Linked DNA regions of Rhinolophus ferrumequinum. The protein of the gene in region 1 purifies or fractionates together with the protein of each later gene. This does not show direct contact. Links are inferred from orthologs where the notes say so. Each region holds a gene or a part of one and is shown on either strand. Other genes may lie near its edges. The genes, in order: PRR3, METTL17, DHX37 and RPUSD3.

The links.
Region 2: the proteins of PRR3 (region 1) and METTL17 purify together in Homo sapiens (co-immunoprecipitation; 3 studies listed by BioGRID and IntAct, with this or other methods). This does not show direct contact. The link is inferred for Rhinolophus ferrumequinum from reciprocal best matches to the Homo sapiens genes PRR3 and METTL17.
Region 3: the proteins of PRR3 (region 1) and DHX37 purify together in Homo sapiens (co-immunoprecipitation; 3 studies listed by BioGRID and IntAct, with this or other methods). This does not show direct contact. The link is inferred for Rhinolophus ferrumequinum from reciprocal best matches to the Homo sapiens genes PRR3 and DHX37.
Region 4: the proteins of PRR3 (region 1) and RPUSD3 purify together in Homo sapiens (co-immunoprecipitation; 3 studies listed by BioGRID and IntAct, with this or other methods). This does not show direct contact. The link is inferred for Rhinolophus ferrumequinum from reciprocal best matches to the Homo sapiens genes PRR3 and RPUSD3.

The regions. Positions count from the first base shown.
Region 1 is NC_046286.1:1,191,947-1,199,873, forward strand, and holds the start of PRR3 (proline-rich protein 3), read left to right. Parts: upstream 1-4,922; 5' UTR 4,923-4,950; coding exon 4,951-5,170; intron 5,171-5,818; coding exon 5,819-5,881; intron 5,882-7,778; coding exon 7,779-7,927. Other genes in the region: GNL1 (guanine nucleotide-binding protein-like 1), read right to left, coding at 494-688, 1,093-1,188, 1,344-1,551, 2,263-2,334, 2,452-2,603, 2,757-2,893, 3,257-3,422, 3,839-3,911.
Region 2 is NC_046289.1:71,894,827-71,902,634, forward strand, and holds the start of METTL17 (methyltransferase-like protein 17, mitochondrial), read left to right. Parts: upstream 1-4,795; coding exon 4,796-4,948; intron 4,949-5,095; coding exon 5,096-5,249; intron 5,250-5,337; coding exon 5,338-5,472; intron 5,473-6,347; coding exon 6,348-6,429; intron 6,430-6,687; coding exon 6,688-6,769; intron 6,770-7,079; coding exon 7,080-7,153; intron 7,154-7,601; coding exon 7,602-7,696; intron 7,697-7,808. UniProt on the Homo sapiens protein: Mitochondrial ribosome (mitoribosome) assembly factor. Binds at the interface of the head and body domains of the mitochondrial small ribosomal subunit (mt-SSU), occluding the mRNA channel and preventing compaction of the head domain towards the body.
Region 3 is NC_046308.1:3,412,461-3,420,040, forward strand, and holds the start of DHX37 (probable ATP-dependent RNA helicase DHX37), read left to right. Parts: upstream 1-4,567; 5' UTR 4,568-4,662; coding exon 4,663-4,768; intron 4,769-6,147; coding exon 6,148-6,317; intron 6,318-7,151; coding exon 7,152-7,264; intron 7,265-7,580. Other genes in the region: BRI3BP (BRI3-binding protein), read right to left, coding at 1,729-1,935. UniProt on the Homo sapiens protein: ATP-binding RNA helicase that plays a role in maturation of the small ribosomal subunit in ribosome biogenesis. Required for the release of the U3 snoRNP from pre-ribosomal particles.
Region 4 is NC_046300.1:44,073,606-44,081,558, reverse strand, and holds the start of RPUSD3 (mitochondrial mRNA pseudouridine synthase RPUSD3), read right to left. Parts: upstream 3,011-7,953; coding exon 2,886-3,010; intron 2,574-2,885; coding exon 2,434-2,573; intron 1,543-2,433; coding exon 1,498-1,542; intron 1,366-1,497; coding exon 1,266-1,365; intron 573-1,265; coding exon 465-572; intron 387-464; coding exon 302-386; intron 97-301; coding exon of another isoform or gene 84-96; coding exon 1-83. Other genes in the region: CIDEC (cell death activator CIDE-3), read right to left, coding at 7,388-7,550. UniProt on the Homo sapiens protein: Catalyzes uridine to pseudouridine isomerization (pseudouridylation) of specific mitochondrial mRNAs (mt-mRNAs), a post-transcriptional modification necessary for their translation.

The DNA.
Region 1 (7,927 bases):
CTCCTTGACAACAGATTTAAAGGATTCAGACCAAGAAAGAAACTAATACTTGTTAAGCTCCCCCTATGATTTCATGGCCCCTCTGCTATGGACTAATTACTCCAACTTCCAGAGTTAACACATACAAGTCACTTAGTCCAGTGCCTGGCACATAGTTAAGTACCACACAAATGTTTAGTTACTATTGCCATTATCACTGCTTGTCAGGCTTTGTTAGGCTCTCTCTTTCCTCTTCCCTTCACTCCTCACATCTGTTCTTTCACTTACGTATCAGTATTCCCATTTTAAAATCCAAAGTACTTAAAACTCAGTGGGTAAATACGTGTTCAAAATCAGTATCAACCAAGAAGAGGTGGGATTTAACTCAGGCATCCCATGGTCCTTCCACTACGGCACATGGCCTCCAGAGACCTGGAGCCTAATGACGTCTGATCAGCTCCCCTCTTTTCCAAACACGGGGGCCGCCACGCCACGCATGGCACTGCTCCCTTACCCACACAGCCGATGGTCAGCACCCCGTCCTTATAGCGCTCCCGGGCTGGGCCGGCCGGCTCCATGGCCGAGTCGGTCTGCTGCTCCACCAGCACCGCGGGCCCATCATCCTCTTCTTCCTCCTCACCGGAGCCATTCCCCCAGCTGGCCCCAGCCACATCCCGGGCAATCTTCTCCCGCCAGCTGCTCAAGTCCACTGCTCAGGGAAGAAGACAAAGAAGGTTCTCCCCAGAGCCACTGTACGTGACGGCACAGACTATACTGCACAGCTGATGGAACTGGTGCCCTCTGGAGTTGAGTAGTGCCAACCTGCACCACAGCCGACTCTCCCCAGCCTTCACTTGACACCACCCTGGAATCACATGCATTTCTCTGAGTTTTCTGAAAAGTCCTGGGAAGCCTGAAGGCAGCGACCCTGGGGCTCCTGCCGACCTGCTACCTCTCCTGTCCCACCAAGTCGGTCTGCTCCCTCTTCCACCCCTCCCCCAGCCTCTCGCCTGTGCCAGGATAGAGGAGCTGACTTCGGAAAAGGTGAGTAAAACGACTCTGGGCCTTGGGTCTCCCGATGACCTGTCACATCTCCCTCTAAGAGGCACAAACCTTTCCCTGCAGTGATGGCTTCACAGGCTCTCAGCAACTGCTCGGGCCCCAGGGCCCGAGTCCATCCTCTCCCCCGCCTCCGACTCTTCTTCAAGACTGACATCGGAGAACACAAAAGGGTTAGCACACCCCACCTGTCTCACCGCCCTTCGGTCCAAGATCTGGTGCCCCCTTGTCAACAAGCATCTCTGCTCTCCCTTTGTCCCCTGCCACCCCATCTCTCCCATGCTGCCCTCCTCACTGCCACTCACCACTACTAGAGTCCTGTGCGGTGCGGGGGTCCCGAGGGAAAGAGGTGAAAAGGACGACATGGAGCTGGGGAAAGTGTTGGTGAAAATAATGCTTCCAGGCGACCGCGAGAGCCGGCGGGGCCAGGTCCACCTTGTTCAGGACCAGCACCAGGCCCAGCCCAAGTTCTCCAGTCACGTACTCGTAAAGCGCTGGTGGGAAATTCACAACCTGGGACAGGGATGGCAAGGGAATGAGCAATGGGAGGTCACCCCAGAGTCCTCTGCCTCTAGCTCAGCAGGCACAGCTTGGAGACAAGACCCTGGAGGTGGCAGATTCTGGGGCAAAACAGGTAAATTAGCTGAATTGAACTAGGAAGACAAAGCAGAGGTAAGAAGCACCTGTGCACCTGCGCAGGCATGTGCGTGTGTGCACGCCGTTACGGATCTGCAACCTGCATATCCCCACAGACCCTCCCTTTCTCCCACTGGAGGACAACAGGAAGTGGCAGAGCGGGGTCACACAATGGCCATCCAGCAGCAGAGTCTGGAGCCTTAACCGCTACCCCAGCATTCCAGGTCAGCCTCGTGCTGACTAATGGGCAGGGCACGGGAAAGCCCCCAGCTGCTTTCATGGAAGCCCCTAGAGCTCCACTCTAGGACCTTCTGTTGGTTTAACTCTGCTGGGCTGGGAAACAGGATGTGTAGTTTTTCATCAAAAGAATAAGAGAGGAGAGTCAGTTAGCCAGGGAAGGAATGACAGTCTGGGACACTGGTGAGTAAAGGACTGAAACCCTGACTGCAGACATCAGCACGGGGTACACGAGAATGTGAAGGAAGAAGGATACCTCTTTGTCTCCCAACTCCTGCCTCTGCCCTTGACCCCACAAGAATGTCCCCCCACCCCCACCTCCGGCTTTCCCAGCCTTATCCCAGTACTCACTGGGTGTCGGATATCAGTGATAAGCAGGACAATGTCAGACATCTCTAACACTCGCCACAGCTGCCTCCACGTCTGAAAAGACAAGGTCAGCAGAAGAGAACCTGAGCCCAGAGTCCCTTTCCTGCCTGACGCCAAACCAATCTGACCCTGGGTCACTACACCCTATTCTTGTCCCCACTCCATTCTCACCTCCAGATTGTGCTCAAAGTAGCTGAGTTTCTCCAAGGTGTAAGCCCCATGAATCTTCCCAAGATATTCCTGGAAGCTCCGTTCCTCCTGGCTCATTAGTTGCTCCTTGGACATCTCATAGCTCCAAGGAGGACGTCGGGGAAAGTCCAGGACTGGGAAATCAATAAAAAGCCCAAGGGAGTCTGAGGATCGTGTCAGGACTGCAGGGTGCATCCCAAACCCCTCCTTCCTCACAGTCAGCTTTCACTCCTCCACAGCCCTTCCCCCAGCCCAGTGCCTATCACCAACAGCCAGCTCTCACCCACCTGAGCCAGGCTGGTAGACCTCCCGGATGTCCAGCTCCAGCACTTCAGCACTGACAGGCTGCAGCACTTGCTCCCGGGCTGCTCTCTTTCTCCTCTCCACCTCCTCCCGGCTGTCCCTCTCAAAATGCAGCCGGTATCTAACGGGACAAGGACCACAGCATCCATTACAATCCTGTGGCCACAAAAAGACTCCCCTCTTGGGCAGACAACTTACCAAAGCTTTCTCTCCAAGGTTGTCCTTTGAGTAGGCCCTCCTCCAACTCCCTCTTTCCCGCAATATTCAGCCTTCCCCTAAGTCTTGTACTTCTAAAAGCCAAGCTCTCTCCAGCCCCTCCGGAAGGGAAGATTGTGGCCGCTCCCTGGAGCCCAGTGCCCGCGGAGAACTGTGGCATCCCAGCCACACCACCTCCAGTTTCAAGCCAGCGGCTGCTGGCTAGCCCCCAGTGCTCTGACTTTCTGGTAGGCGGGGAAGGCCAGGCCAGTGCCCCCCGCCCACTCACCGATTTGGGTCATAGCCTCGCGGACCCAGCCCCTGGGAAGGCTGCTGGTTGAGCCTACGGATGTGATGGGTCACAGACTCCCCGTCCGAGGTGTCGGTCTGCTCCTCCCGCCGCTCCCGACTCCCGCTGCGGCTGTTGGAACTGGATCGCAGCCCATCTTGAAGCCCTGAGGGGAGGAGCCGGTGACGCCAGTGCTGCCCGGCTCTCAGGGGCCAAAAGACCCCCTCCCCGTTGGATCTGGCTTCCCCTCACCCCACCCCACTTCTTCAGAGGCCCGATTCTCCCAGCCACCCTGCTGAGGACCCTCCTAGATGTGCGTGGGGGTAGTCACTCCTCCTCCAGGGATCTGCAGGGATGTTGCCCGTTCGAGCTGGAGGGATTCCCCTCCCCCAACTCCCCATCTTTCCCCACCCCTTCCATGTAGGGGGACTGGAGTGAGGGAATCCCCTCTGCGGTCACCCGCGCGCGACGGCTCACGGCCACCACCCCCTCCCACGCCCCCCAGAGGCGCGGCGGGCACACCCCTCCTTTTAGATGTGCGGGAGCCCGAGCCCCGCCCCCTCTTCTCTCTCCCGCACTGACCTCGCTTCCGCTCCCGCTTGTCCTGCAACTGCTTCTTCTTCTGCTTCACGCTGAAGGGCTTCTTCCTCGGCATGGCCCGGACCAGTCACCTGGCCCTCCCTCCGCCGAGCTCCCGCCGCCTCAACTGACTACACCCTCCCCGGGCAGTCCCCGCCGCAAGGGCCCGGGACCCTCGAGGGGGCGGAGCTAGAAGGTGACGTCAACGGGCGGGCCCGGCCGATTTGCCCCAGTAGCTGGGCTGGAAGGAGGAAGGGGGGCGGAAATACAGTCACTTCCCTCCCGGAGCTAGGCGAGATGATGTCGGGTGGGCTCCCCGCATGTGAGAGCCGGGGGCACGGAAAGGGCGCAGCGGCCGCGAGGAAGGAGGCGCGCGTGGGAGGATCGGGCTCGCATCGTCACGGACGCTACCAACTCACGGTCGATAGAGGGGGGACGCGTGTCACCACCACCTGGCGCGTCTGGTAGAAGCTACCACTCACCTGGAGGGGGCGGTGGAGCGGGGGGCGGGTCCTACCACCTGCGGGAAAGAGAGGCGTGGACGCGCCGGAGCTGCTTTGCCTGCCCCCGGGCTTGACCTGGAGTGGAAGCCGAGGCTGCGCGCGGGGGAATGGAGCCCAGTTGCTGTTTTACACTGGGGGCAGGGTCAGAGGTCTTGAGGATTGGTGGCGGTCTGAAGCGTCCAGGACACCGCCCTGCTGGGACCCAAATTCCTGGTGGAGGATAAGAAGGAGCAGGTTTACAGATCACAGGGCAAGGGTGGGTGAGGAAGGAAGCCCTGGTGGGACAAGGACTTTGGGGGGAGGTCAGAGGTCACGAAGTTGTGCCTGCTGCTGTTACCATAGTAACCGGGAACCGGATGTGGCGATCTTAGCGTGCGACAGCCCTCTTCTCAGACCTTCCCGCCGGAGAGCCTGAGAACTGTGTTGCACACTGTGGAGCGCTGGTTGTGGAGTTTTTTTCAGCGAGGGGAGAAGAGAGGAATTTTTTAAAAACATTTATAGAAGCGCAACGAAGGGAAAGTTTGAGATTTACGCCTTCTGGCAGAAACAGAGGGTGGCAGCTTACGTGAAAATGAGCTGCACAAAGGCTCCCTGCAGCCTTCCGGAAGTTAAATGGTGGGAGCTTCAGCCTCGGGTCCACAGCCCCCACGGAAGCGGAAACAGAATCTCAGCGTGCCCCTTCCTCACCGTCTTCCAAATCCCGCTGCAGCCATTGCCGCAACCACGATGCCGAAACGAAAGAAGCAGAATCAGCAGCAGCAGCCGCCGCAGCAGCAGCTCCCACTGCTAAAGCGGGAAAAGACTGAAGACGAAGAGGATGGGATTCCCATCGGTGAGGAGCCCGGGAGGAGTGTGCACATTTCTGCCAGCGGTCGGGGCGAGGGGTTAGGGGCTGAAAAGGTGCGAGGAAGTGGGCTCCAACGGAAGGAAGAAGGGCGCACGCGCTGGGGCAGGGGGTGGAGGGCCTATCCCGGATGGAGCCTTGAAAGAGTTGAACCCTCAACTTCAATCTGGCCTCTAAACCTTTCTAAAGAAGGCAGGGGAGGACAGGATAAAGAGCTCGGCCCTAGAGAGGTTGCAGGTTGCATGACCAGGATAATTTGTGTCCAGACTTTCACAGGGAAGGTGGAAGTGTATCTTTCTCTAAACTACAGGGGCGGAGGGGAGCTATCTGGCCAATTAGAGAAGGGTTGGATTACCTCTGGATGTTTTGGGTAGCAACAGTGTCAGGGAAAGAGTCGTAGGTAGGTATTCCTCCCGCATTATCCCCCTTGACCGAGTCTCCACTTCTTGCCAATCAATCCTGAACACTTTTGCAGAGGAAAGAGCAGATAGATGGGGTGAAAACCTGTAACACAGCTGAGAATATACCTGGTTTTACTGGTTGATTTAAGAAATGAGTAATAGAATAAAAACTTAAGAATAGGATCATCAGTCCTTTAGTCCATTATGATGACCATATTTTCATGTCTACTCTTAGGACCACCCAGCCTTCTGGGCCCTCCCCCCATGGCCAATGGAAAGCCTGGTGACCCCAAGTCAGGTGAGGAGGAAGGGGCCCTGATCTTTTTATTAGGTCCTGGAAAAGGGAGCAAGAGAGGGACTAAAACCCAGGAAGGACTTAAAATCAAAAGATCAGAATTTAGTACCTAAATGAATGAAGAGATGTTGTATATTCACAGATTGGAAAACTCAGTGTTGTAAAAAATGTCGATTCTTCCCAGATTGATCTGTTGATTCAATGCATTCCCAATTATAATCCCTATTTTGTGTGTGTGTGTGTGTCTGTGTGGAAATAAACATTCAACATTATTATATGGAAATGAAAGGATCAGGGTAAGAGATTGCAAAGGCAGGCTTGAAGTGCGAGGGGTTGCTGTGAATATTAAGACTTATTGTAAAGCTATAGTGGTTGTGACGGTGTAGTGTTGGCGCAGTGGTAGACACATGAGTCAATAGAATAGCATAAAGAGTCCAGTAACAGGCCCACACATACGCGGACACTTCATTTATGATGAAGATGGAACTGACATAGTGGTCTTTTCAGTAAATAATGCTGGATTAATTGGATATTCGTGGGGGTGATGAAATTTGACCTATTCATACCATATGCAAACATCAATTCCAAGTGGACTCTAAATCTAAGTGTAGAGGTAAAGAAATAATTCTAGAAAATAAATATATTTCATGGTCTTAAAGTAGATAAGAGTTCTTAGATAGGAAACACATCAACCATAAAGGAAAGATTTATAAACTGAACTACACTAGAAAATAAAAACTTCTATTAATCAAATGACACTATTAAGAAATTAATAGGGAGCCATAGAGTAGAAAATACTCGCAACAAATGTAATCAATAAAGAGCTTGTTCTAGAATATATATAGAAGTTTTCTAGACAAACTGTTAGAAAAATGGGCAAAAGACCAGAATAGCCACCTCATAACCGCAACCTAAATGACCCAAAAAACATGAACAAGAACATTAGTCGATAAATAAATGCAAGATAAAAACATACGACTTTGAAATTGAAACGCTTGTGCACTGTTGGTGGGATTGCACGGTGGTACACAATGAAAAACAGTATGAAGGTTCCTCAAAAAATTAAAAATAGAATTATCTTATGAGCCAGCAATTCTACTCCTGGGTCTTTATCCAAAAGAATGGAAAGCAGAATCTTGAAGAGATATTTGCATGGAAGAGATTGTTCATGGCAGCACTATTCACAATAGTGGAGATGGTAGCAACCTAAATGTCTGTTGACAGATGAATAGCTAAACAAAGTGTATGTTTATACAGTGGAGTATTATTCATCCCCTCAAAAGTGAGACAGTCTTGTCACATGCTACAGCATGTATGAACCTTGAGGCCATTATGCTAAGTAAAATAAGCCAGTCACAAAAAGAAAAGTACTGTATGATTACACTTAAGTGCAGTATCTAAAGTAGTTCAATTCAGACACAAAGAAAATGGTGGTTGCCAGGGGCTGGGTGGCAGTGGAAGAGGAGTGTTGTAAGTAGCTATAGAGTTGCAGTGTTGGAAGATGAGAAAGTTCTGAAGATGTGTTGCACAACAATGTTAATTTACTTAACACTACTGAGAGGTACACTTAAAAATAGTTAAGGTGGTAAATTTAATGTTACATGTTTTACCACAAATTAAAAAACAAAAACAAAAAATACTTCACACTCAACAGAATGGCAGAAATGAAAAAGATTGATTAATACCAAGTGTTGTCAAGGCAATGAAACAACGAACTGCTGGTGGCGGTATAAATTGGTACAACCACTTTGGGAAAAGTTTAACTTTATCTATTAAACTTGAGCATACATATACGCTAGGACCCAATAATACCTCTCCTAGGTATATATACTCAACAGAAATGCATACATATGTGTAACGACATGTACAAAAATGTTTATAGCAGCATTTTTCCTTATAGCCCCAAACTGGAATCCACCCACATGTCCACCATCACTAGAATGGATAAATAAGTTGTTGTGTGTGCATGCAATGGGATACTACACTGCACTGAAAATGAACGAGCTCCTGCTACAGGCAACTTGGATGAATCTCACAAACATGATGTTG
Region 2 (7,808 bases), on another chromosome or scaffold:
GCTTATAGCTCTAAGGCACATGGAGACAAATCAGAGAGATGCCAGGCAGCTAACATTGGATACATACTGTGATTTGTGTGATTTAAGTATTTTTAAAGGATGTCTCATCCTGAAGTAAGTTTGTTTTGACATAGTGTTTTCACCTCACCTTGTCAAATTATGAATATATTGTTCCTTTAAAAAAAATCTCATAAACATGTTTATTTAACTCTTGTTTTTAAACATGTTGTTGAGAAACCATTTTAAAAGTAGATTTGTGTTTATATCTGAAAAATGAGTAATGTAAACATGTTGTTTGTTTTGGGGAGGAAGTCTGGAAGAACTGATGAGGATCTAGTCTCAGGCTCCTAGCTGCAGTCATCCTCAATCCCCCCTAAGACTTTTAGCAAAAAGCCTGAGCATCCACCCCATCACCGAACCTGGAGCATAAAGCACCAGTCTCCCTGAACTTCTACTGGGAAAGCTGAATCAAGTTTTCTGCAGACCAAGACCCCAAATCTTTGAGGGCACTCCAACTTCTTTGTGCAGAAATGGGGAAGAAAATCCTGCAGGTGGAGGTCACTGATGGGCATCAGCCCTAGGCAGCAGCAGCAGCCTGGCACAGACACACTGACTGTTCCTGTCAAGTTGGTGTGTGTGTGTCCCTATTTCTCTACTTCACACATTCACTTGCTCCCTGCTCAGCTAAGTAACAGAAATAAATGTTGCATTAATCAAGTGTGTGTGTGTCATATTTTCTCTCCATATTGCCTACACTTTGAAATCCTGAACCTAAAGGTTTTACACTTAACCTTGAGTTTTTACTCAAAATAAAACACATATCCTTTCTTCTTGTAGTTCTTGGCATGCTGAATCTGTGAAAGCCTGTGCAAAACTTGAAGGAACTGTCCTTTGAACCTATCTGAGGAAGTAGAGCTGGAGAAGTGGATCTGTGTGGCTCTAGAGAAGCTATGAAAATGCACTCCTCAGACCTCATGGGAATCATAATTGACCAATGGCCCCAACAGCCACACTCTGAATCTGCTATGCTTCCCATGGGCCACTCTCAAACAAAGACTTAGTGCAGCAGTGATACTACTAAGTCAGGCCCATTTCTACAAGATGCAAGACTCCTCTGATGGTTACCTTGGGCTCAAAGAGTCTCCATAAGGCTGGCTGAAACATTTCTAGAACTGTTCCTACCAATCCATTTGCTTTCCCTCCCTCATTACAGTCTGACTCTTCCTGCCTCTTTTGGCTTCCTCTCCCTTATCCCCTCACAGGTATTTCTCCCAATAAATCTCTTACAAATCTAATCCCACCTTTAATGTCTGCTTCGCTGAGAACCTACACTAACACAGACATGTCCACAAAACAGATTAAAAATGTAAGCCATGATTTCAAAATAAGCTAAGAAAATAATCCAAGACATGAAAGAATAATATGCACCAAAATTTTAAAAAATTCAGGAAAAAAAATGTGACACAGGAAAAGTTACAAATAAAAATCATTTAAAAGATAAAGACTGATCTAGAAGCAATTGAACACAACAAATGATGGCTTAAGAGAATTGAAGATTTTAAAAAACAGCAAAAAGAAAGAGATTTTTTTTAAAGGTACTATTTAGGACCTTTATGGCAGAATTTCTTTAATTTCCCAATAAACTTATTCCAGTTGCTTCACACCTTCATTGTTAAGGGTTTCTCTAAATCTAATTATTAGCTACCTCCCTTTTTCATAAACCCAGTGGAGAAGACCAGTTGATCATTATCCATCTCTAACCAAATTATCCAAACCTTCCTTAGAGAATCTTTTTTATTTTCCTTTGCTTAACTTGGAGATCGGGCATTTCTCTTTAATACTGTCCAGTTTCTCCCCATTGACATCTGTGCTGCTTGTTTCTTTGTTTGTTTTGTTTGTTTTGTTTTGTTTTAATGCAAAGCCAATAATTGGAAATACTACCCAGGTCAAAGTATGACCAGTGTTGATATGCAGAATTCATGGATGAGGAATGAAATGGGTTCATCTGTGCTGTAGGGGATTGTGACCTGGTCAAATAACTAGACTTGGATCCTCAACCTAGTCTATCCTAGGCTTTTCCCAGCATGAAAACAAAGAGTGGTCACTTAATCAACATCATCAACAAATATTTATTAAGTGCTTTCAATGTACAAAGAATCATGTTCACTGTTTTAGATGTTTTATGGACATCCTCGATTCATGGGGAGAGTGGTATGGAAGTTTTGCTTTGTTTTGTTTTTATGAACAATACTTTGGATTAAGAACAAAGACATAAATTTAGGTCTAAGTCAGCTTTTGAGATGTATCACTGAAGGAAGGGAACAATTTCAATTAGACCAGTGTCAGAATGAAGGAAGCCACATCTATGTTGGCAGTTAGATTAAAAACAACAACAACAACAACAACAAAACACCAGGAGGGATATTTAGAGGCACCACCAAGTCCTCCTGCTCTTTACTTCTTAGTCACCAGTGCTCAATCTTACTTGGCCCCAAGTAGCCCCAGTTTCAAGCCCATCTTGGAAATAAGACATGAATTCATAATAAAAATTAAAATATGATTATGTTCCTTCAAGCTCCCAAAATACATGTGATAATACGTATGATAATATCATAAACATTGAATGTTTACTTTGGCCAAACACTATCTCATTAAGTCCTCACTCCAACAACCCTGTGAGGTAGCAACTATTATCTTGCTGCTCTAGAACTCAAATCCAGACTGCTGGATTCCAGATGCCAAGTATCTTAACCCTATGTTCTGCTACCTCCCTATGACAAAAAATTAACATAGCCAATCTTATGTTCCAGCTAACCTGCAGTGACAGGAATATTTTATTTTGCTAATACTAGCAGTCCTCCATATCCATGGGTTCCATATCTGTGGGTTCAACCAACCAGGAATCAAAAATATTTTTAAAAACAACAACAAAAAAAAACCCCAGAAACTTAATCCCTAAACAATACGGTATAGTAAATATTTACATAGCATTTACATTGTATGAGCTATTATGAGTAATCTAGAGATAATTTAAAGTATAAGGGAGAATGTGCCTAGGTTATGGGCAAATACTATACCATTTTTATATAAGGGATTTGAACATGGAAAGATTTTGGTATCCACGGTGTGGGGACAGAGTCCCAGAGAGCAGCAGTTTCCAGGCTGTCCGCCTTGTGTGGGGAGGTGATGGCTCTGATAGTGAATGACCATCAACTGTGATTGGTTGGCCATCAGCTGTAACCGGTTGGCCAATTAGCTACTGATGTAACTGCAGGGCTGCATTGATTGGTTGGTTGGTTGGCAGGCAGGGAAGTGAATGGTGGACTGCAGATCATGTGGCTACTACTGCATGTGTCTCGCCCAGCTGCCAGAGAGAATATAGTCGTATGACTCCCCTACCTATGGCTCCGTGGATGTTCCTTTTTGGCCTAGCTACATCCTGCGTTCTTATGTGGGGAACGGGAGCAGAGACCCCGCAGGCTGCCCCACAGGACACATGGCACAGCGAGCAGGATCTCCCGCATGACACATGGAGTCCTGGAATCAATTCCCGGTAGATACTGTGGGATGACTGTACTTGAGGCAATAACTTAAAGTAAAAGCAATGTGTCACAGAGATGAGGCTGTGTGGCAGTGTGAATCAAAGTGGGGCGGGGGGAGAAAGAAGGTGGTGAACTTGAAAGGGAGAGCAGTGAGTGGGGAATTTACAACAGCTGTCCTAAGCAACCCTCAAGTCTTCTTCCAGAGCATTTGGATTATACAGCAAAGGCCTCCTATATTAGAATCAAGCTTAATAACCTAAACGCAAACCAGATATTTAACTCTGCAAGTGATATAGTTACCCATATTTTATTCCATACTTAACATACTTGGACTCTTGCAGCTACAGCAAAGGCCATAGGTTTGTTTACCCATCCAGTCACCAGATTAAGATACACCATAGCTGACTAACGTGTTTGCTATAGGAATCGAGTGAGTTCATTCTAATTCTACATGTTAATTTAACACTTCATAACATTTAGCATATTGTTAATTTGCTAACTTACATTCAAAATACCAACAATATGTGGTAGGGCATATGTTTAAAACTGAAGCTGACTTAAGACTGCCTAGGTTTGAGTCTAGTTTTCATATAAGCTTTGTGATCTTGGGCGTGGTATTTAACCATTTGAAGACAGCTTTCTTCAGCTGCAAAATGGAGTTAACAACGATCTATTTCAGAAGACTGGGGACTAAATGAGGTGAAATGAGGGGACTAAATGAGGGGATTGATATTACTTGAAAGTGTGTTAGCTATTTATCTATGAAGACCAGTTTAATATGAAGAGAAACTAAAATATAAAAAGCATTAAATCTATTAATTTCCGTTCTTTTCCGTCGCCTAAATCTGGCTTTTATCTCTTCTTTCTGTTACTGCATTTTCCCCCTTTTCAAACGGAGAAGAGAACCCACTACTTCAGAGTTCTCCAGAAAGAAAGAAAATCAAGGGAACGCAGGCAGTTAACACATCCAGAAAACAGCCTGCCAGTCTACAGTGCGTTCCTAAAGACCCAGGGTAGGGCACGCCACCACCCCCTATCACCCCGCGCCCCTGAATTTTCGGATGCGGAGACCAGTCCCAAAGAAGCCTTGAGGCCACCTCGCTTCCGGCGGGTTCCTGTAGCAGCGACGTCCAAGTCCCACCCACGCACTCTTACACTTCAAGGTGATTTACATATCGATTGTTTATTGGCCACTCGCATGCACTCGCTCTCCTCATTGGCTGATACTGTCCCATGCCGTCATTCCGGGGAGGATGTCCGCCTGGGCGAGTGAGACTGAGGGTCACAGATATCTACATTTCCGTTTCCGGTTCGCCTCCGGCGCCATGGCGACCAGGAGCGGCCCGAGGTGTCTTTTCACATTAGGCAGATGGCGTCGTGGTCTTGGTGTAGCTCCGCAGTCCCGGGTGAGTGCCTATTGTCACTGCTTTGGGAGAGACTGGAGCTCTGACACGGGTCTGCTCCGAGGAGCGCTCCCGGCAGCCCCTCCCTTAGCGAGCGCCCGCAACCTTCTCTTCCTGCCCGGCAATCAGCTTTTCTTTTCCGGCTTGCAGGCTCTCGCTGCCCTTGTGCCCGGCATATCCCAGGTGGATAACAAGTCCGATTTTCTGGGGAAGAGGCCCCATCGCCGGCACCCCGGCATCCGGCAGCTGCCGCGGGTGCGGCTGCCTCAAGCACTGGCTGACACCGCGCAGTTACTGTTGCTCGGTGAGTAACGGTAGGAAAGGGAGGCTCGAGAGCAAGCGGAGACTGGGCCTTCATGCAACTGATGCCGCTTTTCATCTTTGGCCCATAGAGAATCCAATACCCAATGTGGAGAAGCAGGTGCAAGCACTGACCAATTATCTCTGGAGCCGGCATGTACCCGTAGAGCCAGAGGAATTGCAAAGGCGGGCTATGCATCTTGAGAAGAAAATCCTGGAAAACCTAGGTAGGGTTTAAGAATAACTAAAAAGTAGGTCACATTGAAATAACAATGGGAAATGAAGAGCCAGAAATAATTTTAGTCTCTCAAATAGATACTACAGTTTCTTATTTGACTTTCTGGGCGGTTATTACAATGATGCCTTACTAAGAGGAGCTAGATTATTCCAAAGATTGCCCTCCCGGCTTTGGTGAAGGTCAGTGAGGGCTTTAATATCCTGTTGAAATCTAGGTCTTTGTTTTTTTTCCTAACAAATCCACTGGATTAGGACTAAGTTTTTATTCAACTGAAATAAAGCCCCTGTATGGCTCCCTGTCCAGTGCCAAACCCCTCTTGAGGGACAGGAGAATAAGTATAATTTGTCAAGTTATTATTTTCATGATTGTGAGCTCCTTCATATTACAGACCCGGCTTGTTATTCATCTTGTAGTCCCTGTATTACCCACAGTACCTGGCTTATAGTAGGCACTCTATAAAATAGGACTGAACTGAACGCTATCATGAGACTTAAAGTTCCTTTCCTCCGTGTAGGAACATTAGAGACGCACAATCTTAAGTTTTGGGGAAGTGAGGAAATGTACAAAATACTGTCCTTATCCTATTTTGTACATCTTTACCACGCTTCCCTTTAGTATAGAACAAAACCCGTGGGATGGGGTGAATTGAGTTGAATAATCTGCTGTTAGAGGCAAATTACTGTCTGATACACTCTAGTGGTAGTGGTGGAGGTCATTGTTATTCTCACCAGGTTTGGCTTCCTTAAGCTTTGAGGCTTTTCCCGGGTAGGAGTTGGGGCGGAATGGGCAGGCAATAAATTCAAATATTGGATCTGAGCCCTGTTCATCCTAGGTCCTCACTTCCAGTGCTTGTTCTCACCCCAGACTCATCTCAGACAGAGGAGAAACTTCGTGGAGCAGTGCTGCGTGCGCTGCGTAAAACTACCTACCATTGGCAAGAACTGAGGTAAGAGGGACTAGAAGGGTTACAGAGGAAAGAAAAGTTTGACTTTTCAAGGAGAATTGGAGAAGTACAATTACACAATTTTGTGTTTGAAAAAGCTACCTGGTTTCTAAGGCTCCCCAGGACTTTTCCTGTGTTGTAGTGTGAAAGTGATAACATGGAAGAACCCTTTCCAGAGATTTCATTTCCTAAAAAATCTAGAAGCAGCTATGGAATAGAGATTATTTCCCAGTGGACATGACTCTCTGATTTTTCTGGCAGCTACAATGAGGGACTGAGCCTGGTGTATATGGCAGCAAGACTGGATGGTGGCTTTGCAGCAGTCTCCAGGGCATTCCATGAGGTGAAAGCCCCTCAGCTTCCAACCTGAACCCTTTTACCATCGGTTCCCTTATAAAGTAGTCTTCTGGGGTAGGATTCTTGGGACATTGCATGTGCATTTTTTTAAGGGGCTCTCTTTATCCTCTGAAAGGATTTTGTGACCTAAGAAAGGTTTAGAGTCACTGTTTTAGGAGCTTCCTATTCTATAAAGTATTTAAATTGAATCTCAAAAGACATTCACATCTCCTCTGTCCTGGTCTCCTAATCATATTTACCACGGCCCTAAATAAGAGTCTGCTTACCCTACTGTGGGGTGTTGTATATTTCTTCAGATCCAGACTCAAATTCCAGAGTTCCAACCACAAACCTTGATGGACTTTGGATCGGGTACTGGGTCTGTCACCTGGTGAGTATCTTTCTCTTTATACATTCTAGTTTTAGAGAGCCATGCTTACACCACTCCAACATCAAGAGACTGGGGAATCAAGAATAGGAAAGTTGGGAACTAAAATGTTTCTTCCCTCAGGTTAGGCAAGGCATGAGAAGGTTTATAAATTAAGGCCAAAACTTAAATGTCAGGTGAAAAAGGACCGTGTATAGAAAGATAAAAAAGGAAAGGAATTTAGGGCATAAGTTTTGTATATCATCAAAATTTTTGTCTACAAGTAGTGTTTGAGTCTGCCTTTTTTTTTCTTTAAGGAGTTGTAAATGAAATAAGAAAATAACATTGTTAGTTTTTCCAACTATTTTAATATAACACTTTGTTTCCCCAGGGTGGGGTTGGTGGTAGAGGGATTTCTTGTAAGAATGACTTTTTGTCATGAGAACTGCTGATTTATATTTTGCCATCTTAGGGCTGCTCATAGTATTTGGGGCCAGAGCATACGTGAATATATGTGTGTGGACAGTTCGGCTGCCATGTTGGATCTGGCAGAAAAGCTACTGAAAGGTGAGCTATAAGGAAGGACTTTCCAAAGTTGAAGGAGTTAATAAAGCAAAGTAATACTAGAAATAACTTTATATTCAGGAGTAAAGGAGTGGGCTAAAAGTTAAGATGAGTG
Region 3 (7,580 bases), on another chromosome or scaffold:
AAATGAGTTACTCTAATGATGAAAGTACTTTGCGCCTTTTAAGGAAATAACAGGAGATAGTATTACCATCATCTCTGTTGGAGGCACAAACTCTGGTTGACCCCTAAAAGAATTCTTCGGACCCCCAGATTCTCAGATTCTTTGCCAGAATACCGCTGTCTTATTGATCCCAACCCAGAAGATAGGCCCTTGCACATCGGTATTGTTATTCATGTCCGTGGACCTCAGACTCTCACACAGAACCCTCAGCTGACACATCGCTTCTTTCTGCTTATCCTGCACAAAGAAGTAAGACTTCCTTCTGCTCTAAAACAAATGCTTTCTGCTCTCCAATCGCCCAGGGCAGGCAGTCTCACCTTGCTCACATCCTCTACCACCGACAAAGAGTTCTCTCCTCCGAACCCACAGCCTCCCCAAGAGGCATCCACACACCCACAGGAGAGGATGGTCAGACGTTCCTTTCCCCAACAAAATTAACCTGTCTTTCATTTCATCCAGTAAGAATATCCAGCCAGTCTGATTTGGGTTTCAAGGTTCTTTTTTCCCCCTCCATCTCAAGCACCAGAAAACGTTTTTGAACCCTGAAGGTCCTTCCAGCAGGGCTCAGCAATGCTGATTTGTACCCTAGCTAGGGTGGAACTGCCAACAGCAGCTGATACCAACTCAGCCATTACTCTGGCCCACCACTTACAATCAGTCTCTTACTGAAGGGGGTGGTATTATCCCTATTTAACAAGATAAAGAAACTGAGGCTCAAAGAAGGGAAACCACTTTCCTAAAGCCATCAGGCATGTAAGTAGTAGAGCCAGAACTTGAAGCCAAATAACAGAGCCCAAACTTCAACCCAAACTTCTCTCCATTCCAAAACGCCAGGACGCGCGCAAAGGAGTAAGAGGAGGGCAAGAGCAGTACTCAAGGAACCACATTACCACATGCAACTGTCCCCCATTTACTTCCCCTTTCTGGGGAGCTACTGGTGGCCTTTTGCCCCGAACTGCGTGCCTATCCCACCCAGCTCCAGCGGACCAATCGTGGAGTGGGGAGCCTCCCTGAGCTCCTTCTGAGGTCTCAACATCACCTCAGGGGGCTGCAGGCTCCTAAACGGCTTCACAGTGAACAAAACGCTTCAAGTAAAAGGCCTGGCACACAGTAGGCGCTCAGGAGGGTTAATGAGCCAGGTTGCCAAAGCAACAGAACAGTACGCATCGTTCCCTTTCTTTTCTTGTAAATTAAAAAAAGAAAGAAAGAAAGAAGCCTAAACATCTTAAAAGCCGGAGGAGGAGGGCCTAAGGTGCTCAGGGGAAGAGAAGAGCGCAGCAGCGTGGGTAGAGGGCGCAAGCGGGCAGGGCGCCCCCTGGGCACCCAGCACGGTGCCTGGCTCATAGTAGGTGTTCATTCAAACGTGTTGAATGAATGAATGAGAGGCGCGGTCGGCGTCAGCGCTGCCCAGGAGAAGCCCGGCTGCTCCGCCCTAGGGGGCAAGGTCCAAGGAGAAGTGCAGCGTGGAACAGACGGCGCCCCGCGGCTTTGCACCTGGCCCCAAGCCGGAACCGGCCACCAGAGCCGACACTGGCCAGGCAGGCCTCGGGGCGCAGGCCGGCCACCCCCGTCCCCGGACTGGGCACCCTTCTTCCACGCCGCGGAGGCCGCGCACGGCCCAGGCCGGCCCCGGCGCCAGGTGCGCGGCGGCCGGGGCAAGGTGACCGCGGGCGCGGGCCCGACACCCACCTTCTGAGCGATGCGCACGTTGTCCTCGCCGAACAGGCTGCTGACGCTCTGCGAGAAGGTGTTGACAGTGCGGCGGTAGCTGTTCTTCTCGGTGCCGCCTCGGCCCCGCGCCGCCTGCGCGCCGGGGGCCAGCAGCCCGAGCAGCAGCGGCAGCAGCAGCAGGAGCCCAGCCCGGGCCTGGGGCCCAGCCGAGGCGCGTGCTCCCATCCTGGGGCCGGCGGGATGCAGGGGTCAGGAAGAAGGGTGAGGGCCCTACAGAGGGACGCCGCGGCTCCGGCGGGGACCGCGTAGGCGCGCTGGAGGACCGCGCGCCGCGCTGGTGCCCGCCGCTGCCGCTGCTGCGCCACCTGCCCCGCCCCGCGCGCAAAGGCGCGACGGCCCTGCCCACGCCTGGCCCCGCCCCCAGACGCGGGGACCAGCCATGGACCTGGCCGGAGCCCGCGGGACTAGGTTGAGGTTGCTTTGTCTCCCCGCCCCACCCTCCAGAAGCCCTCCCTGACCTGGTGAGGTTTTAATCTTTTTTTTTTTAAATAATTTTTATTTTTAGCTTTTCCGTAAAATGCAACCCATGCCTGGAAAACTTGCCACAGCCTCAACAAAGATAAATGGCTGCAACTGATTGGAAAACATGAAATATATATATACATATAGATGTATCATTGAACTTAATGGTACCCAATAATTGGCCACCGTTGCCGATGGCAACGGCACCAGCTCATTCATTAATTCTGAAATGTTTAAATAAAGGGAAAGCATCTAGCATCCTTCTTGCCTTACTGAAAGAACTGTATTTCATTCAGAGTCACAAAATATTTGAGGGAAAGTTCTTTTTAGAAAAGTCCAGCTAGTAAGTGAGGAAGGAGTGACATAATTAGAAACTTATTTTGCAGCCGGTAATGAAATGATAGGTCCAGGCGACGATCATGCAGAGATTAAAACCGAGAGTTGGTGGGGAACTGGATACTGGAGGGGCCAAGTTGTCCAGCCCTGGACCCGCCAATCTGTAGCAGGAAGTACCAGCGCCACCTATGATGGATTCCTGCCAAAACCCTTTGAGCCATAACCTGATCTGGCCCCTAAATCTAACGAACAGTTTACCGGAAATACAGGGGATGGAGAAAAAAACAGAAGCAGCAGAAGCAGTCAGCCAAATCCAGAATGGGGAGTACTGTACAGGACCAACGATCCAGTTTCTTCGATAAGTAAATGGTATAAAAAGTGAAGGGAGGGGAGGATTATTGGTTTTAAACGACCTAAGAGCCATAATAACCAAATGCAATGCAGGGGCCTGTTTGCATCCTAAATCAAACAAACCGTGTCTAACCAGACATTTTTGAGACAGCTTGCAAAATAAAACTTAATTGTTGCCAACCCAAAGAGTGAAAAATTGTATCTTATTTTTCTGGCTTCCTGATAAGGATTTAATATATTTATTGGCCATGTATTTTACCTTCATTTTTTAAAGTAAACTTTTAAATTTAAGAATAGCATACAAGCAAAAATACACAAATCATAAGGTGTCTCTCTATGAATTTAAACAACACCCAGGTAATTGACAAGACAGGTATGGGACAGTAACCAGGACACAGATGGAGAAATGGAACATTACCAGCTTCCCAGAAAGGTTCCCTTTATCCTCTCCCATTAACTAGCCCCTTCCAAAATTTAAGGGATTCGTTTTGCCTGTTTTTGAACTTTATGTAAATGGGGTCACAGAATATGATCTTTTCTGATTGGCTTCTTTTGTTCAACATTATATTTATGAGATCCATGTTGTGTATATGTCTTTTTCTTCTTCCTTTATAGAATGTTCTTTATCTTTTCTAAAGATAATGTTTTGGTATATAATATTTTAGAGGAAAATATAGGAAAAATGAACACATTTTATTTAATCAACACATTTAAAGAAGAAACTGGATCGCTATTATCCTAAAGAATGAAAATACAAGTTTGATATGTTAATTATACTTTTTTTCAAAAACCATTGAAATTAATATATAACTTCAAAAAAGTGTTCATATGTGTGCTACCTAAATCTTTATGCACCAACTGTGCATTTGTGGTGGCTCGTTTTTTGTTTGGGGGGAGGTGGGGACGCTTATCCAAATTCAATCACACCATTCATTCATTCATTCCTACATTCAACAATTATTTATTGCTTACCTACTCTGCAGCCAGATCTTATTCTAGATTCTTCAAATGTTTTTCCTGGGACAGTTTTAAAAAAAATAACTTTATCCTTTCAAAAATTCTAAAATGACTCCTAGCGCCTTCACCTTTCTTTGTGATATCATTTAAATGTTTGCCCTTAACGAATTAATACTTTTAACAGAAAAAAAAAGTCGACATGATATTACTGTTCTATTCACAAGATAATTACAGGATTCAGAAAATATATTATTTCCGAGTGCGCTGCAGACAATGTGATGTGTAATGAGAGTTTAAAGCTAATAGATGCTTTCTCCTTTTAGTTGTGTCCCAGTAATGGAAATATTTAGTCCCTTTTTATTACACAACTAATGTATGTTACAGGAATATCAGAAAAAAAGAAATGAGCAAAAAAAGGAACAAGTTTGTATTAGGGATGGGGGTATATTTTAAAAGGTGACAAAACACTCCCACTTCCTAGTGGCCCAATTAGTAGTAGTAGGTAATTCAAATTCAGAGACTCAGACTACACCACGTGAGAACAACCCTGGGTTTAATTAGGCCTCTGCTGGGACCGCAGGCCTCTACACTCTTTTAAATTGGCCCGGCCCCGCTTTTCCGCGTGGCCCCGCCTCCAGCACCGCCCCTCGGGGGCCAGGTTAGTCCCAGCTCTCGCGAGAGCGTAGCCCGGAAGTTTTCCGACCTGAGCGGGTATCCTGGGAACCCACGAGGGCTGGGTTCAACCCACGGGTGAACTCCGCCGGAGCCGAGCAGGACCGGGGCGCCATGGGGAAGCTGCACCGGCGGTACAACGTCAAGGGGCGCCAGCAGGCGGCCCCCGGCTCCTCAAAGGGCCCCCCCGAGCCGCCCCCCGTGCGGCTGGAACTAGAAGGTAAGGCGTCCCGGGGGCTGATTTCGGGGGAGGGGCCGACCAGGGCCTCGCGGCCGGGGCTGGCCAGTGGGCGCCGAAGGGCTCCCGGCCTGTGTCTAGCTTTCGTGACTCTGGGGCGGGAGGACCTGGAGCGGGAGCACCCCCTCTAAGATGATACAAAGGAGTGGGGGACAGTGGCAGGCAAATTTTAACTGAATTCGGACCGATACCTGGGTGTTCCCTCGCTTAGAGTCCAGCCCTAGTATAACAGCATGGGGACTTGGGGCAAGAAAATAAGTTAATTTCAGCCATCCCGATGGCTTCTGTTATGATCGTGCCGGCGACTCCTAAGTTTGTATTCTAATCCCTGACCTGTCTGCTCAGCCCCGGGCTGCTAGACACAGTATTTTAACATGTGCGCCTACAAGTGCCAGCAACTTCTAGGCGCAGGAGACAGAACAGAAAAGATTTAAGGGGGGAAAAGTTTCTGCCCTACTGAGCTTAGCTGCTTTTGGAAGGAGACAGGCAAAGACACACATGTAAAATATATAGAATGTTATGTGGATATAAGTCCTGAGGAAAGGAAGCCGCAGAGGTGTTTGGGTGGGTTGTGATGTTTCATAGAGGGGGCGGGGAAGCATTATTTGAGTCAAGGTCTGAAGGTGGCCAGAATGGCTGAGTGGAGATGAAATTAAAAATGAGGGCAGGTTCATGGAAGGCTTGTGGGTCATGGCGAGGACTGTGGCCCCAGGAAGTAGCTGCGTTGCTTAAAATTGTCTCATTTTTCTTAATGAGGGCCACATACCCTCTCCTACACTTTGTGATGTACAAAAAGATGTACAAAGCCAAACGGGTAACAGAAGAATCAGGTAGGGCCCTTATAGGACGCTGCTGGGGGAACTCCAGTGTTAGATGTTGCACACAAAAGGGCACTCCCCAAGATTCCCTCACCCCAAGGTGCTTCAGTAAGTTGAGTTGCAGAGTAATATGATAGCTGAATTTTGATCTACATTATATACTTTCAAACTGTGACATTTAAAAATAGATATGACACAAACTCAGTACTTGGTCCGCTGCATGCTCTGTAGAGAACGTCGTAGTAGTATTACGAAAACAGCTCGGACTTCATACCCACTCAGCGCAGGCCCCACTCCGAGGGAAGCACTGTTATAGCCTGTACCCCGCTTACTGGTACTCCCTCTTCACCCGCACTGGGATGGAGGTGGCTGGGCCCGCACTCCCCCACGCCGCCACCCCCTGTGCCGGTACTCAGGGGCTCACAGGTGGGGCAGGAGTCCCCAGAGGAAACCGGCATTAATGGAATCCTGAGTTTTGCCAGTGCCTGAGTTTGGCATTCCTTGGCCTCTGGGTCTGTCGGTCAAGCAAGCCTGTCTTTTCAGAGAAGGGCACGTTGAAAGGAGTTGACGACAGCAACGTGCTCGTCCTGCCGGGGAAGAAGAAAAAGAAGACCAAGGCCCCTCCGCTGTCCAAGAAGAAGAAGAAGCCTCTGACCAAGAAAGAGCGGAAAGTGCTGCAGAAAATCTTAGAACAGAAGGAGAAGAAGAGCCAGGTATGCCCACTCTGTCAGCGTCTGCACACGGCTCTCCAGACTGGAGAGAGTGAGAGAGAGATGGAGCCAGAGGGAGGTCCAAAAATGGGGAGACTGAGAAACCCCAATCTCGAGGCTTCTTCATGAAATTCATGTTTGACTTTCTCTCAAGGTGAGCAGGGTGCTGGGTCTCCAGCAGGGGACACACAGGTCAACCGTTAGCACTGACGCTCAGCCCCTGGAGCCCTTACTACAGGGGACACTCACTCTCTGGTGAGTGTGTCCTTTTAAAATCCTGTGCAGTATTTTTCCTGCTGTCCAGTACCTTGTTTTTTCCTTTTATTGATTGTGAAATAGACATACAGAAGCACATATAAAATACGTGTAATTTCAAGAATAATAAGACAAAAACTCATGAATCACCAGGGGAAAGAAACCACTGGGCCCGTCCCCACATACTGCTTTACTCAAGACAGCGTGGGGACCCCTTCCTGTCACGCGGAGCTGCCCCTGTAGTAACGGCGGGATGTGCTGCCTTGTACAGATGGGCTCTCCTTTATTTATTCCGTCTCCCATGGATGGGCGTCTGTCTACTCGACAGTCTTCTCCTATGCCACACAGTGATGCAGAGAGTGTCTTGTTTACCCAATCCCAGACTTTGTAAGGGGGTACAAAGCCACTTCCAGCTCACACGTCTGTTGGCGTAAAAACACCACGCAGCAGTGCAATGCAGTTTGACCTTCGGTTTAAAAAGACAGGGTGTTGGCCATGCTGAAATTTTGTGGAGCGTCTCACTTCCCTTCTGAAGAGGGAGTCGTGATGCCAAATGTCTAACGCGCTCATGTCCTTCCCCAGCGAGCAGAGATGCTACAGAAACTGAGTGAGGTCCAGGTTTCAGAAGCGGAGATGAAACTCTACTACACCACGTCCAAGCTGGGCACTGGGGTCCGCATGTACCACACCAAAGAGTAAGTCGGCTGGCCACTTCCGAAGCCCATCCCTCCTGCCAGGGCCCCTGGGGACGGACTCTCGGGTGACAAGTCTTCCAGAGAAAAGACGTGTGCGGTGGCCTACGTTCTGTAATGCTTCAGTGAATAGAGGCCCCAGATGCTGCTAAAAACCCTGCGAGGAGCAGGACAGCAGAGTTTTCTACTCCAGTGATGTCCGTGTTTCCCTGCAAAGTGGGGTCCTGTGTTACAGGTTCTTCCAGCTTTTGCACACACGTTGCCGTCAAGGGGCCGAGGATTAGACTTGGCCCATTAGCAAGTTTTGTTTGGTTCCTAC
Region 4 (7,953 bases), on another chromosome or scaffold:
GTGGCCACCACACGGTAGTAGCTGAGGGTCCTCTTGACACCTTCCAGGATGTCCTTTCGGGATGGGGACTTCACTGGAACTACCTGTGATGTCAGCCTCCAAGAATTCACACATACCTGGGAGCTACACCCAAACCCTCCTTGCTCCCAATAGGCTCAGGATAGGGCCATAGTATAGGCAGTGCTCACTTGCCTATTTTAGGGGACAGAAGAGCCAGCCACCCCCAGTCTGTACCCTTGACTCCTCTGTAGGGGTAATATGTCAGAGATTCCTCCCCTTCCCCACCCAGACCCTGACTCACAAGATCGACGCCTTCAATGTGTTCTAGTTTCAGAGCGGCTTGGATCTTCCCCTCAGAAGGAGCTGGGATCCCATCAGTGACAGCCCTACGGAAGAGGCAGGAGGAGGTCACAGTAGCTTGTTGGGAGCTCCCCACTGCCATGCTGCCTCCCAGCACCACTTACCAGTAGGTGGCTATGGGTCTCTGGGCTCTCTGTGAGTAGGTGAAAAACTTCTGGAGGCGGCTTGCTGTTTCGGGACAACTGGAGAGGAGTACAAGCCCAGAGGTCTCCCTGGAGGAAGGAGACAAATGACAAAAGTTAAAGTCCTTTGGGCTCACCCACAAGAAAGGGAGGAACACTGACCTGCTTAATGCCAAAAAGCAACACCAGAGTATTACCCATACCTCCTTCTGAGAAACAAGTGAAGCTTCCTGTGTTTTATAATAGGGCTATGTAGCTCAATGTGTTTCTCATTTTACCCTGGCCCCCAGGGAGCTCAGAGCCAAACATCACAACAATTACTACCAATTTCTCAGAGTTGACCATGTGCATTACTATCCTAGTAATTTCATATATATTAGCTCTTAAATAATTAAATTCCCCACAGATAAACCCATGAGTTGTGAAATTGCAGAAATATTTCTTCTCAAGTACCATCTCTAAGTGATGGCTATTAGAGGAAAGAACATCATGGACCACGTGCCATGAGTGTGGGCTTGGAGAAGTGACTATATACACAGCATAGGGGTCAGTAGCTGTATCTTCTAAGTAATGGAACTGAGGCTCAGTGAGGTTTCATGCTTTGGCTAAGATCACAGCTTGTACTTGAGGATTTGAACCTAGATCTGTCTGCTCCCGCCTTTACTTTGTATCCTGTTTCTGTGATCCCAAGCCAGCTGTGGAAAATATCTTGGCTTATTTTCAAGCAACGGTTCCCCAACCACACAGATGGATGCCTGTCTTCCTATCGCCCCCACCACTTACTTCCCAGATGCTCGGACAACCTGGAGCTCCCTCTCCCCAAGCCCCAGGGACTGGCTCAGCTCTGGCAGCACGGAGAGCAATGTCAGCTCTCCTGGTTTTCCTGGGGGGGAAAAAAGGTAAAATACAAATTGCTCCCAGAGGCAATTTTACCCCACCATCCCCTTCTCTTCATTATTCCCTCCCTCAGAGACATCAAACCCCCTTTTAGTGCATCTCCGTCCCCTGCCCTTACCTGTCACTGGCAGACCCTGTGGCTTGTTCAGCGTCACTAGTGGTCCTGAAACATATGTTACATGAACATCACTAACAGCAAAAGCAGCAGCTGGAGTTTACAAAGCACTTTCTCAATTCATCTTATCATGTAGCCCCACGACAACTCTCAGACATGAGTTATTAACCACACCCTGACCTGAATTTCTTTCTGTCCCTTGCATATGCTAAGCTCACTGTCACCTCCGGGTCTTTGCACTGGATGTTTTCTCTGTCCCAGATTGTCACATGTCTGGCTTCTTCATCTCATCTTAGCTCAACCACAGAGGCCTAAACCCACAATCTAATGTCTGCCCTGCTCCTACCGTTCTTCACCGGCATAACACCCTGTTTCGTTCACAGCACTGATCACTAGTAAGTATCTTGTTCTTTATTTCCTGTTTAATCCATTTCTTCCACGAAAATGTCAGTTCCCTGAGAGCAGGAACCGTATTTATCTTGTTCAGCACTGTATGGCTGTGTCCAGAACAGTGCTTGGAACATAGCCTATGCTCAATAAATAGCTGAGAAAATGAATAAATCACTGAATAAAGACTGAGGCTCAGAGAAATTGTCTTCTTCCTAAAGCCACAAAGCAAGCTGATTGCAGAGCCCACATCTGACTCCAAAGACAGTGTTTTGTCCATCAATAAGCAATTTATTAGAGCAATTCCCACTGGGGCGTGCGTGCCTACTGTGTTCGAGACTCTCTAGTTCTTTACACCCTCCCACCCCACACCCCCACCCTCATGCTGAGGCTCAGAGAGAGGATGTGGCTCGTCCCAGATCATGCCAGTGATGGGAAGCAAAACCAGGACTTGACCCCAGAGGCTTCAGTGGGGAGCCCAAACAGCCCCCGGAAGGCTTGGAGGGAGGCTACTCTCCTGCGGCTCTGCGCAGCGCTCCCTCTCACCCTCACCTCTCTGGTCCAACACACATGCCCTCAGTGCATCAATCAACTGCTCCCGACTGAGATTCTCTGGCTGCAACAGCCCTGGGAAGCGCTGGTTCTCCAAGGGCCTCGACCGTTTGCTGGAGCCTCGGGGATGCAGCTGATGCCTGGGAAAGATGAGGTAAGCAACAGGGGAATCATTCATTTCCAGAGGTACTGCCCACTCTTAGCGCCACACACCTCTTCCCAAATCCTAACAAATGCCTCAGAAAGCCTGGGCTGAGCTCTCCGAAAATTCAGGTTTGATTGGTACCATTTTACAGACGAGAAAACCGAGGCTGGGAGAGGCCAAGAGGCTAGTGTAAGGTCACAGAGCAAAGCCAGAATGAGAACCCCTATCTTCCTAACTCCAGATCCCGCACACATCTTCCCCCAGCCCCACCATCCCTCCCACACGAAGTGGGAGGCGGTGTAATCACCGGGCCTCGGAGCCAAAGCCTGCGGCCTTGCGAGCGGCGTGGATCTCTGGCCTTCGCCGCCAGCTACCCGAGACGCGGCCCAAAATACGGCAGCCACCCATCTTCCGAGCCAGGACTGTGCGCATGTGTCTGCACCCCCTCCCCGCCCCAACTCGCCCACAGCTCTCTCATTGGTCAGATTGACTGTCAATCGGAATAGCGAGAAGGTGGGGCTTTAGAGCCGTGAGCAGGCAGAGCTTTGCCTTCGCCCAGGAATGAGATTCGTGCCTATGTTTTCGGGGAACCTGAGGCATAGGGCAAAGAAGGAACTTCTCAGGGTCAGGGGACCTGTCTCAGGACAAAACCGAGACGAGAGGTTAAGGTTTTCTGATTACCATTTCAATTCGTAGGAGATTTCTGACCAAAAAAACCAGTGTTGTGCACAATATGATCCAAGAAAATTGGCGGGGGGGCGGGGAACATCCATACCCTTTGGTCCAGTGACCCTGCGTGGAAGAACAGCCTGGTGCATAATCCAAAAAGAGTAAAAGGCCAGAGGCAGAAAAAGATAAAAGATTCACTACAGCATTATTTATCAAAGCACAAATAAAACAACTCTCAAAACTGGGAACATAAATTGTCCTGTGATTAGCTAGCTTTACAGGGGAAATAAATCTAATGCATTCAACATTTTTTTAAATGCTAACTCTATGCCAGGCCCTGGCATTTGTGAGCTGGAAACACAGATCAACAAGACCTAGGCCCTACGCACAAGAAATGAAACCAAGGGGACACAGTTCAGATCACAACATCATGACGCACCTTGCTAAACCCTGGGAAAAGGCTGAGAGAAGAGAGGAGACAGGGAAGGTGAAGTCAGAAAAGGTGTCCCAGCATGGGTTGTGATTGACAGGTTGTGAAGAACTAATAGAAATTCACTAGGAGGCAGAGAGAGGGAACAACAGGAGAAATGAGCTAATTAAAAAAAAAGCAAAGAACAAAATGGAGTCTATCCTGTAATTACAACTATAGAGAAATTACATGCAACCTTTGTATTATTTTGTTTACTAAGAGCACTGTAACTTTCAACTCCTTGTTTGCATTAGCAAAAGACTTCAAATTAACCTAAATCCATCAACAGAGGTGTGGCTAAGTCAATTGTAGCACATACAGTCCATTATGGAATGTGTAGGTCTACATGTGCTGATATGAATCAATCTCCAGAATATATTAAGTCAAAAAAGCAAAGTGCAGGACAGTGTGACTAGAATATGCATATATTGTATACATACAGTCATGTGCCGTGTAATGACATTTAGGGCAACTATAGACCACGTACGTGATAGTGGTCCCATAAGATTGTAATGGAGCTGAAAAATTCCTATCACCTAGTGACATCATAGCTGTCACAACGTCATAGCACAATGCATTACTCACGCATTTGTGGCTATGCTAGTGTAAACAAACCCACGCTGCCAGTTGCATAAAAGTATAGCACATACAATTATGTACAGTGCATAATAGTTGATGATAATAAATGACTATTTTACTGGTTTATGTATTTACTATACTATACTTTTTATTGTTATTTTAGAGTGTACTCTTTCTGCTTATAAAAAATAGTTAGCTGTAAAATAGTATGCCATGTTATACCAGCAGCAGCCTCACATACCTCATGCTCGCCACCTCTCTTGATTGCATCATTTTTTCTTGTGCTTAATCTCATGTTGTTTTGTGCAGTAACATGCTATCCAGGCTTGTATTGTAGCCTAGGAGCAATAGGCTATATCATTAACCTAGATGTGTGGTAGGCTATACCACCTAAGTTTGGGTAAGTGCAGCCTATAATGCTCGTAGAACAACAAAATGGCCTAACAATGCATTTCTCAGAAAAATCCTCGTCGTTAAGAAGTGCATGATTGCATATGTGTGTGTGTGTGATTTATATATATTATATTCATGTACTCCTGCATTTCTAAAAGGACACACAAAACGAGATGGTGGTTGCTTCTGGAGAAGGAATCAGAGGTGAGAAGATAAGTAACAATTAGTTTTACCCTTTGAAACTGCTTAAGTTTTTTTATCTCATTGATCTATTTCTTCTACACACACACACACACACACACACACACACACACACACCCCTAGTTTAAAAATCTAAGCCAGATATAAAAGACTGTAAGATTCATAAAAAATTTTAAATAATAAAAGTGTTTTAAAATAAAAATGGGTAGAACTAAATTTTTTAAAAGATTGGGTGATTTGATTTAAAATGACATTTTAGAAAAGGCAAACTATATTGGCAGAAAATAGTCAGTGGTTACCAAGGGCTTGGGATGGGTGGGAGGATGGGGATTGACTAGAAAGGGAGCCGTTGGCATGCTGGAAGTGGTGGTTATATAAATGTATCAATTTGCCAAAATTTAATTAAATTATATACTTTAAAAGGGTAAATTTTATTGTATGTAAGTTATATCTCAAGAAACTTGTTTTTAAATTCAAATATTTAAATAATCAATTTTTAAATAGATAATGCATAAGTACTGGGGTTGCCAAAAAATATATACACATGACTTGTATTCATCTTTTGTTATCGGTATATAGTATTACATTTTCATACTTTTTTTTCCTTTCTTAAAATGTGTATACATTTTCTTGGGACCCTCTGTATAAAGACTGGCAAGATATTTGGCAAGACTACAAGTGTTTTTATCTTGTTTTGGGCTTGGGGTAGGACATTACTCTGCTTTGTCAAAAGGCCCCAGGGTATTTTAGAATCTCTTTTCTGGAAGGTCTCCTGTGCATTCATAAGCAGCAGCTTTGAGCCAGATGGAAAGACTAAGGCCGTGGGGCTGGCACACAGCCTGCCTTAACTGCAACACACCTCTCCTCCACTGGCGGTGCTTGGCTCCCGGAGGGGCCAGTCCCCAACTTGGACTGGCCCCTAGCCCTGCCCAGGCTTGAGCTCCCTTGCTCTTTGGAGTTTTCCACACACCACAGCTTCATCAAAGGCTGCCCTTTCCTGTTCACTGCCCACATCTTGTGTGACTCCGTTCGCCTCCGAGCTCCTCGAAGAAAAGCAAGAACTAATTTTTCCTGGGCTGGAAGGGCTCAGTGCCAAGAGCTGGTCACTCAACGCACTTGTGAAACTCTGAATCTCAGGAGGAGGGGGTGTGGTGACAAATTCCAAGCTTCTGTCACCCCAGCCAACTCAGTGTATGATTAACTTTATAGGAGGAGCAGGTAGGCCACAGCCTAGGCAAGGGTTGACCAGGAATAGCTTCTGGTCATCGTGCCTCCACGTCAGAAGGCCCAGCCCATGGAGACAGGATGGCACTGAGCCCGGGCTCCAGCCATAACTGCAAAAGCAGGAAAGCCCAGAATAGAAAGTGTTCTGCTAGCTCTGGCAGCTCCTCCCATAAATGGCTGCAGGGTCTGAGTCCACTGCCAGCAATAACTCTCCAGCTCTACCTTTGGTAACGCAAGCCTTTGTTTTGGTTTTTAATAAACCCAAATAGCCTTCATGGTAATGGTCAGAAATGACACATTTTAAAATCTGAGTCACAGATTAAAGCACAATCACCTACAAACCTAGCTTTTCATGCTTGTCTTGTTTGAGTTGCTCTCTATTGAAACCCACACTAATGAGAAATTAATATTCTTTGTGGTGGCTAACAGCTGTTTTGAAATCCTAAGATTGAAAGTTCTGAACTGCCTGGCAAGCTAGGGAAGACATTGCTGGAGAGCTGGATTACACCTTGGTTAGTACATTCCCACCTAAACACTTAAAAGTTGTAATAAAATGCAACAATGAGAAATTAGAAGAGTGCCTTAATCCCACCCTGCCAATCAAAGCCCTTCTGATAGGCAAATTTGTTTTGGAAATTGTTATTTATTTTATGGACTAAATGGTTTGCTCAAGTCTTTGATTAAGCAGACATTAGTTCCAGAATCAACTGAAATTTTTTTTTTTTGGCAGAAGAAGTGCTGTTTCCTGTAATGCCACATTTTAGAGAATGATTTGACAATAAATTTGTTTCTTCCCTTGGACTTTTTCAACCTTCCAGATAGAATCCCACCCTCATTCCCCAAGAACACAGGCAAAGAAGATGTATTACCATAACTCATTTATTGTGAACTCTCTCATATAATACATTAGTGAGCCTTATTATTCAGGAGTATTAGGGATAAGAGCCAGGAGGTAGGAAGTGTAATGAAAGTATAGCAAGTGAAGACAGGCGTCTAAGGGCAGACTTCATGCCTAGCCTGCTGGTGACCAGTCTTGGTCAGCTAAGCTACCTTGTGCAGGAAGGAGCTGGGCCAGGCCAAGAAGCCTCAGTACCCTTTGGTCAGCCACCCCAGGTTTCCAGCCCTTCCCCCTGCTTCCACATTCACGGTCCTGTGGGGGTAAGGGAGGTGTGGGGAGGCAACAAGCTCTCTGCCAGGCTTTTGGGTGCTACAAGCTGCGCATGGGGTCCCCAGTCTAGTCCTCAGCTGGGGAAAGCCTCTGAGGACTTGGGCCTTCATTGCAGTATCTTCAGACAGGTTGGCATGAGGGATGGGACCTTGGCCTTGGGTGGCTGTCCTCCCTCTGTGGCATCCAGGAGCTGCTGCATGTAACAGGAGGTGCCGAGCAGAACGTGTCCTGTGGCCTGCATGCTAAAGAGGGCCCAGCGAAGAGCTTCCCTGGGTGGAATGAGAAGGTAGTAGAGTCAAAACACAAAGAAAACCCTTGCCTGCATCCCCTAAATACTTCCTTCCCCATGCTCCCTTCATAATTTCATCATTTGTAGAGTGATGTGCAAACAGGAACAGAGGTTGCCTTCCTTCAGCAAATGGGAAAGGGGCTACAGGCATTACCTGCAATTGTATCTTAACTGAGATGTCCACAATCTCTCTATTTTCTCATGCAAAATTCAAGCTCATTTAACAAGGCCTTTTATTTTTGTAGTATTACTTTGGACCAATCAGACTGGTCTACATAACATGAAGATCATAACTCTGCCCAGTGTCTGTTCTAGATTCTGAGGCCTTTCCAAGTCATTTGTAGTCAAGCTAATTTTTCAGAGTCCTGGGCATGAAGATACCA